Linked DNA regions of Danio rerio. The protein of the gene in region 1 purifies or fractionates together with the protein of each later gene. This does not show direct contact. Links are inferred from orthologs where the notes say so. Each region holds a gene or a part of one and is shown in the gene's direction. Other genes may lie near its edges.

What was found.
Region 2: the proteins of mcm3l (region 1) and mcmbp purify together in Homo sapiens (affinity purification with mass spectrometry; 10 studies listed by BioGRID and IntAct, counting the BioPlex papers as one, with this or other methods). This does not show direct contact. The link is inferred for Danio rerio from reciprocal best matches to the Homo sapiens genes MCM3 and MCMBP.

Annotation. Positions count from the first base shown.
Region 1 is NC_133195.1:6,684,883-6,689,442, reverse strand, and holds the start of mcm3l (MCM3 minichromosome maintenance deficient 3 (S. cerevisiae), like), read left to right. Parts: upstream 1-1,441; 5' UTR 1,442-1,560; coding exon 1,561-1,632; intron 1,633-1,739; coding exon 1,740-1,852; intron 1,853-3,674; coding exon 3,675-3,883; intron 3,884-4,560. UniProt on the Homo sapiens protein: Acts as a component of the MCM2-7 complex (MCM complex) which is the replicative helicase essential for 'once per cell cycle' DNA replication initiation and elongation in eukaryotic cells.
Region 2 is NC_133188.1:28,756,660-28,760,483, reverse strand, and holds part of mcmbp (mini-chromosome maintenance complex-binding protein), read left to right. Parts: intron 1-1,386; coding exon 1,387-1,520; intron 1,521-2,066; coding exon 2,067-2,231; intron 2,232-2,311; coding exon 2,312-2,400; intron 2,401-3,824. UniProt on the Homo sapiens protein: Associated component of the MCM complex that acts as a regulator of DNA replication.

The DNA of each region.
Region 1 (4,560 bases):
ATGTTGAGAACTATTTAAATGAAATGAAATTTTTTTTTTTTTGATAGACAAAAAATATTTTACTGCTAATAATACAAATAAATGCATTGTATAATCCAAATGTGTTTATCCAATAAATAAATAAATATACCGTGCTATTCATTCATTTTCTTGACTGCTTAGTTCCTTTATTAATCCAGGGTCGCCACAGCAGAGTGAACCGCCAACTTATCCAGCAAGTTTTTACGCAGCGGATGCCCTTCCAGCCGCAACCCATCTCTGGAAAACATACTGTGCTGTGTAGAATAAAAAATAAATTGAGCTAGGTACTGAGAAAATATAGCTACTATTTAAAGTAAACTTTAAATTTTTAAATAAACTGTGTGTAATCTGCCTTTTTTTAAGCATGTGTTACAACTAACCCTGTCTGTTACAACTTGAAGTGAGGTAAATAGTAACATTTTTACTCCTGGCACTTTTGGCAACACTGCAAAGAAACAATAGTCCGGCGATTATACAACCAGAGCTCATTTGTAGGAGAGGCTTGTGTTTTGTTGGTAAAAAAACAAATGGTTTGTTTAACCCCAAACCTTTGTTTATTATTTGACCAAAGCCAAAAAGTGTTACTTTGTGCCCCGCTCCCTTACTTAACTGATTAGTATGTAAAATATTGGATTCAGACATTAGATATATTACCAGATAAGAGCTGAACAAGCAGTTTTTCTCCAGCTTGAGGAACTACATATAGAGAGGGGCGTAATCGTTCAGGTCTAACCAATGAAACACGCCTTCACAGCGCGCACTCAAATCCTATTTGCTGAATGGTAAAGTCAGTCACCGAAGAGGAACGCCTTCAGACACTTCAGGAGTTTGTTTGCAGAGAACCGAGCAAAGGAAGATTCGTCCAAAACGTGAATGAATATTTTATAAAACCATATGAGCCGTAGCCTGAGGCTTCGTCCTGGAATGTCGTAACAAACGAAAATGAACTAATTTATGTGCGTATTATGCAACTACAGTATGTGTGAGTGTCAACAGTATCAAGCAGCTCGGAGTAAAATAACTGAAGAGCACTGTAAGAGCTTCAAATACAGTATAAAAGAATGGAATAATTCAAAGGGGGTCTAGCGCATTCATTGTCCTTTTGACTCGAGCATTTTAAGAAGCGTTCAGGAGAATCTATTTTGCTAATAGGGTCCAGCTACCATTACACAAATAAAACATGGTTACTTGTAAAAAAAAAAAACAAACAAACATGATAATTACGAATTATTCATGATTTTGCTACACTAACCACAGTTTAACCATTGTATTTACAGTAAAAACGTGATATAGGCTACACATGGTTATCTGTTATATTTTTTACCATAATGAAAGCATGGTTCGAAATAGGGGTAGCTCTATTCAAATCAGTTGGATAATCACATGCTCAAGTTAATGAGCCTAATTAACATAATTGATTGTCAGGCCTGTTGCACCAGCTTGGTTTGGTTGCTTCATGTTTGTGCATTTGATTTTTGTTGAACTGTGAATGTTATTTTAAAATATTGTAATGCACATGCTGATGCGCGTGTAGGAGAAATGGATACTGGGTTAGAGGACCTCGAGCTGAGAGAGTCACAGAGGGAATATCTGGACTTTCTGGATGATGATGTGAATAATTTGAATAATCTTTATGTGTTTGACTTGTGGGCATTTTGAACTGTATAAACTTTGTTTTTTGTCTGTCAAACTAAATCTTTTTTTATTGTAATTTACAGCAAGATCAGGGCATCTACCATGAAAAGGTCAGGAGTATGGTGTCTGATGGACAGTGTCGTCTCATTGTCAACATTAATGATCTGAGAAGAAAAAGTGAAAAAAGAGCTAAAGAGTAAGTGATTAATTTGATTAAAAGTTGTCTATTTTGTTTCATATTTTGCTTTTTTGACAATTTTAGATTTTTTCTTTAACGTTGTTTGCTCTTCGGGATTTGGTCAGTAACAAACATGTGGCCAGATACATGTGAAACTCTGGTGTAAACAGCATGGTTGATGTACTATATGTTGCTCTGCTGTCTAAAATATACAAAAAAAAAAAAAAAAAACATGGAAGCTGCTAAATCACTTACTAAAGCAGAATATGGTGTAGCATTTTGATTTAACATGTGGTAAAGGATACATTTGACCAGATTAGCCTAATGTTACACTCGCTTGAGCATAAATTATAAGAACAAACATGAACGTTATCAAGATTCTTGCCATGGAAATCGTGAATTAGTTTGGTCAACCACAAACACTTTTTGTTCTTCAGACAGCTTTTTTTTCTCTCTTCTGCTTGACTTTACATGGCTTTCAGTATTCTAATACAATCTAATAGCAAAGCCCAAAACAATTGATCATTTTCAGCAGTAGTAAGCAAATAATATGATTCTCAGTCAGTTCAGTCACATTGTTTACGTTCTGTGTTTCCAATATGGCTGACTGATGATGTGTGATGAAAATTCTCTGTAGAGGAGAGTGGGGACAGTTGCAACACTTTTTGCAATTCTTTCAGTTTCTCGAAGACAATTTTATTTTTTTTTTGTGGAACCCCAAAATTTTAAAACAATAAACTCACTTCTGTTGGACAGGCACCCATATTGCTATAATATGTGTAGATATGTTAATAAATTCTTCATTTATTACTTAAAGAAAGGGACAATTGCAACATTCATTCAAATTATAATTTAAAAAAAATCTAAAACCTCGAGTTGGATTTTATTTTTTGGTAAACCCACTAAATGAAAATTGGTTAAATTATTAAATGTGTTGGCCATATAAATACAAAACCTTAAAAAAAAAAAAAAAAAAAAACGAGCAACATCCAATTATAAGGCCTAAAAAAACTGAACTTTTTTTTTTTTTTTTTTTTTTACTGAAAGATTGAACCTTTACCAAACTACTACTAAGAATGTTGACATGAATTAATTAATCAAATATTTTTTTCAAATTATATTAAAACTGTGATCAATAAAATTGTACATTTGTTAATATGGCAAGCTTTCAAATGAATTTTATAACAATTGGGGACAGTTACAGAAGCATGTTCAGCAACTCTGTCAACCTTGATTAAACATTCCATGCTAGAGAGATACAATAGCTTGTTACAAACGCTTGATAGCTATACCTATTTAAAGCTATGAAAACAGTGATTTAAATTATACAAATGAATAATGTTTCACAAAAACAGATTGGGCTGTATGAGAAATTTTCTGATCATTACAAAAAACTATTTTTTTTTTTTTTTTTTTTTTTTAAATACCTAAAATGAGTTTTAGACTGAAGAAATGGTCACATATGGCTGATTTCTCTTGGATGGAAGAAGGATCCAACTGACAATATGTAGTATGAATATCATCCCTCCATAGCTCATTCCTTAATGGAGAAATAAGTCTTGTTGTAACTGCCCCATGTTGCCCCCATTCTCCCATACACTGTAAAAAATGCTGGATTTCACACAATCAATTTGTGTTAAAACATCTCGAAGAAAATAAGTTAACCTATTAGTTTTTACAAATGGATATTGATTTAACATAAAACTGTTAGGTTTCCCCCAAAAAAGCTTGAATTGTGTTGTTTCAGCTTATTTTAAATAAGTAGTGGAAGCGGCAAATGTAATTTTGAGTGTATATCCTTGAATCTTTATTGATCTGATTAAGTGTCTCTTTTTAATAGATTACTGAAGAATGCTTTCGCTGAGCTGGTGGCGTTTCAGAAAGCCCTGAAGGATCTCGTGGCTTCAATAGATGCCACTTATGCTAAGCAGTTTGAGGAGTTTCATGTTGGTTTCGAGGGCAGTTTTGGGAACAAACATGTGTCTCCTCGTACTCTGAGTGCTCGCTTTCTGGGAAACCTTGTGTGTGTGGAAGGCATCGTGACCAAGTGTGAGTAAGATTTACTTTACTTATTACTTATTAAAGCAATTGTTTCGTCCAAAACAGAAAATGTTGTTCTCTTTTACTCATCCTTCACTTGTTCCAAACTTGATTGACCATCTGATTTTAGATGAACACAAAAAAACCCATCTAAATTGTACAACTTTTATCAAAAGGAAACCTTAATAAACTGTTTTAGATTTTTATCTTATATATTATCATTATTGTTATTTATTTATTTTACCGTGGACATTATTTATTGCTGTTGATTACTTTTAATTGTTAGAATATATTTATAATTATAAAAAAATTGGTATTTATAAAATGTGATAAACTTGATGTATTGTATTTTTGCCATGACATAGCCATAGAAGCTGAAATGGCAATAAAATTAAATCTCTCTCTCTCTCTCTCTCTCTCTCTCTCTCTCTCTCTCTCTCTCTCTCTCTCTCTCAACACAAAAGAAGATATTTCTTAGCTGTGACATCCTTATATTTATTTTTCCTAGTATGGAAGTCAATGGTTACATGCTTGCAGCTTCTTTTTTTAAATATTGTTTTGAACACAAAAGATGATAACAAACTCGTACATTGAAAAAGGTGTTGCATGCAGAACTGTTGCAAACAATTTGTTTGTGTTGATTTTAAACACATAAATTAAATTGAATCATGTTAAACTTAATTTGT
Region 2 (3,824 bases), on another chromosome or scaffold:
TGCTCCATGTTGTGATGCACATGTTTTATGAATCCTACAGAAAAGCATGTTATGAGACTATTAGCTTTATAAAAGCTGCACTGATATATATTAGGTATGAAATTGAAGCAGAAATATTTGTTTGCACATTGTAGCTCTAGTGGCATTGTTTGGAGTGTTTGTTTACACTCTTACTGGCAGAGGCTGTTTGCACTGACTCTGCCCACTAGTGTGCGGTGTAAACAGTTAAAATGAATGTCAATATTTTCTTTTGTCAGCAACAGTGTGTAAAAAGTAAGATGGTTGTAGGGGAAACTTGATGCAACAGACTTTTAAGTCTTAGCAAAATGTCTTAACAAAAATGAATAAAATGTAGGGCTGGGCTATTTGGCCTAAAATCAAAATCTCAATTTATTGAAGATTTTAACTCGATTTGCGATTAATAAATGATTATTTTATTTGTTTATTTTATGCCCTCATATTTCCTTGACAAGTTTTGTTCAGTAAATATGCTCACATATTACATACCAGAGGTTTTTGAATGAATGGTGCATTTGTTAATTTTAAAATAATTGAAAATGTCATCTCAATGCATCTTCCATTCATCGTCAATGTAGTCTAAAGTAAGTTTCAAGAATGAGTCCATCGTCCTACTTGAGAGAGATCAGATGTGGCTGCAAAGTAGCCACAGAAGTATAAATCAAGGCTTAACCGAGCGGATAAAGAAAATTGATGATAGTAAAATGCTACAAAAATACAGGTTTTTTTTTTTCCCCCATGGTCTTTAAATTTAATATGATATGAATTCTGACTGCAGAATTGCAAACATACCTACTGGAAATCAGGGATTTGAACTTAAATATCTGGTAAAATAGATTTAAAGACAAAAAGGTACTTTAAAATGTATAAAATTCATTTGCCTAATGTCTATGACTGTCTCAGATCAGGCATGATCATTAGGCTTTAGATAAACCTGTTCATGCAGCTTGAGAGTGTTGTCTAAACATCGTATTAGTCATTTATAAAGCCTTTTAGACTTTAACCATTGAAACCTGTAGTTTTAAACAGTACTTTAAAAGATATATATATACAGTAGCTGCTGCACAGATATGCCATGACTGCATTTACAAAAGTATGCTTAAATACTGGGAGATGGTGTAGATCAGAGCAGAAATTATTTGGTCAACAACACAATTTTAACTTAACTTAAGAGGATCATCAATACCCTTGACATTCTGTGTTAACATAAGCACTCATTATCTGGCCTTTCTCAGAGACAATTGCATGTCTAAAGGAAGTGTAAACATCCTTTTCTGCAGCGGCTGGCATTTCCTTTGTATCATGATGATGTGTTTTCTTGCGGATTGTTCAAAACCAGGTTTTGTGTGCTGTCTGTCCCTGCTGTAGGTGTGCGTAATATCACTGCGCTGGGGAACCTGATCTCCTGGCAGAAGGTTGATTACGACTTCAACTACCACCAGATGGAATTCCCTTGCAATATTAACGTGCTTATCGCGTCCGAGGGCCGATCGCTCCTCCCGGTAAGAACATCAGGAGTCGCTTTCAGTCTTTTACTATTCAAATATTACCCTGATGTGTTGGGGTGAATTAGAGAGACCGGAATCTTAAATTCCAACAGGTGAAAATGACTTGTGGCTGAATGCCTCTCCCATAGGAGTTGTTTCCATCCGGCCTAATATTTCCATTGCAGTCCAGAGGGCTGCTGTCAGCTGCCCGGCTGCACGCCAATCCTAGATTCGCTGTGATGCTAACAGTCTGTGGAATGTGCTGTGCTATTCCTGTACTTCAGCTCTCTCTAGTTGCCATGGTGGCAACTCCAGCACAAGGGCATCAGAGAGAGAGGGGGCAGGACAGGCCACTTATTTAATGGCACCCAGCTTGATGCGCTGTATTTTTACAAAGTTTAAAAAAGCACTGATGGTTTATTAGGAGTAATTTCATGACTCATTAATGGCTTCTGACATTTCTGCACAAGAGAACTTGAAATATCAGAGCTCAGTGATTTTGAAAATGAAAGGAGTCATTAGAAAAAGCATTTCACTGAGATTTCTGTGGCTGTTTTGCAGTCTGACTGTCAGGTTCACTTGAGGGCCTCTCTGAATCCACCTAACCTGGAGGAGTATCTGAGCGCGGTGCAGGTGGCACAGGTTCCATCCCAGCTCAACAAGTACCGTGTTTACCTTAGTGTGGCGCGGGCTCTGAACTACACCATTTCAGATGAGATCACAAAGGTCAGCGTTCTGTTCAAAATGTGTGTCTGGGTGTTTTTTTGTTATGGTTTCTTGTCTAATGTTGTGCGGTTTACCTACAGGCTGTGGAAGAGGACTTTGTAGATATGCGAAAAGATGATCCTCAGAGTATGTCAGCAGAAGACCTTCATAGACTGCTGGTTGTTGCAAGGTGAGGTTCTTATTCAGCAAATGTGATTAAAAATGGGTTGCTTTTTTTTTTATATAAAAGAAAAAATGATAAGTTTTATTAGTTTGATTTTGATCAAATGGGATACCATTAAAGTGATAGTTTTATAGTAATTAATTTTTTTATAGATAGTAAAATTTTGTCATTGTTTATTCACCCTTTTCTTGTTTAAAACCAAATACATTTTTTTTCTTCTGTTAAACACAAATGAAAATGCGCTTAAGTGGTACCCATTTAGTACTTCTTTAGTCGTTTTTGTCCTACTATTGAAGTTGATGGGTCCCAGCAACCTATGGCAAGCCAGTTTGAGTTTAAAGGTTCAGGACACCCCGGAGAATTTCTTTTTTATATTAACAGATGTGTGTGTGTGTTGAGCATCAGTTAAGACAATGTTAGCACCTGTCAGCTTTAATTGTGGGGAAAACTGGATCATTTTGAGCTTTTGTCAGCTAATTTCAGCTTCCGGGTTTAAAATGATTTTTGGGGTGGGATCAAAATCGGCGACATAGCGCAGTACTGCAAGTGCAATGATGACGCGTCGGTTTCTCATTATTATTCATAGCGGAGTTTTCTTATCCTATGAGAAGAGCCGGTTGCTTAATTATTCATGAGACCTGCCAGACTTGCCAGTGTCAAGCCCGAGCTGAGAGACACGGAAACCACGGCACAGTATTTAGCCGTTCATGAAGGCTCATATGTGTTTGTTTCCATGATCCACGGGGTTTGTTGCATGTTTTCCCAGCGATCTTGTCAAGGCCGATCATACAGCAAAGCTGTGTGTGTGCTGCTAGCATTTTTGTCGGGAGAGCAGCACGAGAATTAGAGAATGGCAGGCGCTATCTTTTATCAGGAGTTCGTCCACATTCAGAAACATCGCCGTGCTGCTGTGTTTGCCTAAATCCTTCAGATTACCAGCAGGGTTAATGGTTAAAATAGACAGGTCAGGAGACCTGCTGCACTGAGTCTGCTGGATACGGGGATTGAGGGAGAAGTCCTCATTTATAGTGTTTACATGAACACATTTATCTTTATAATGATATAAATTGTGGTTATGTGTATATGAAATTACGGATAACAAATGTAGCAGGGCATTAAATCACTGTTCATTTCTTTGCATTTTAACTTTGTAAACTATAAACTCATGCATCTCCTCACGGTTTATCTCATTTTGTGAGCTAACTGACAACAACAGTTGTTCGTTCACGTTCTCCCCTGCTGGCTACGCCCACTCCTGCCCGATGCTCGCAGAGCTCCATGCCCATTAATCATGCTTCTTTTGAAAAAATTCTGAAGTAGACTTTAACCGAAAGTGGGGTGTGTCATTGCCCTTTAAAGGCCCGTTCACACCGAGACATTTTTTGCTCACGTTTTCTGTCAACGTTTAACGCCTCGTGACTAAATAAAGC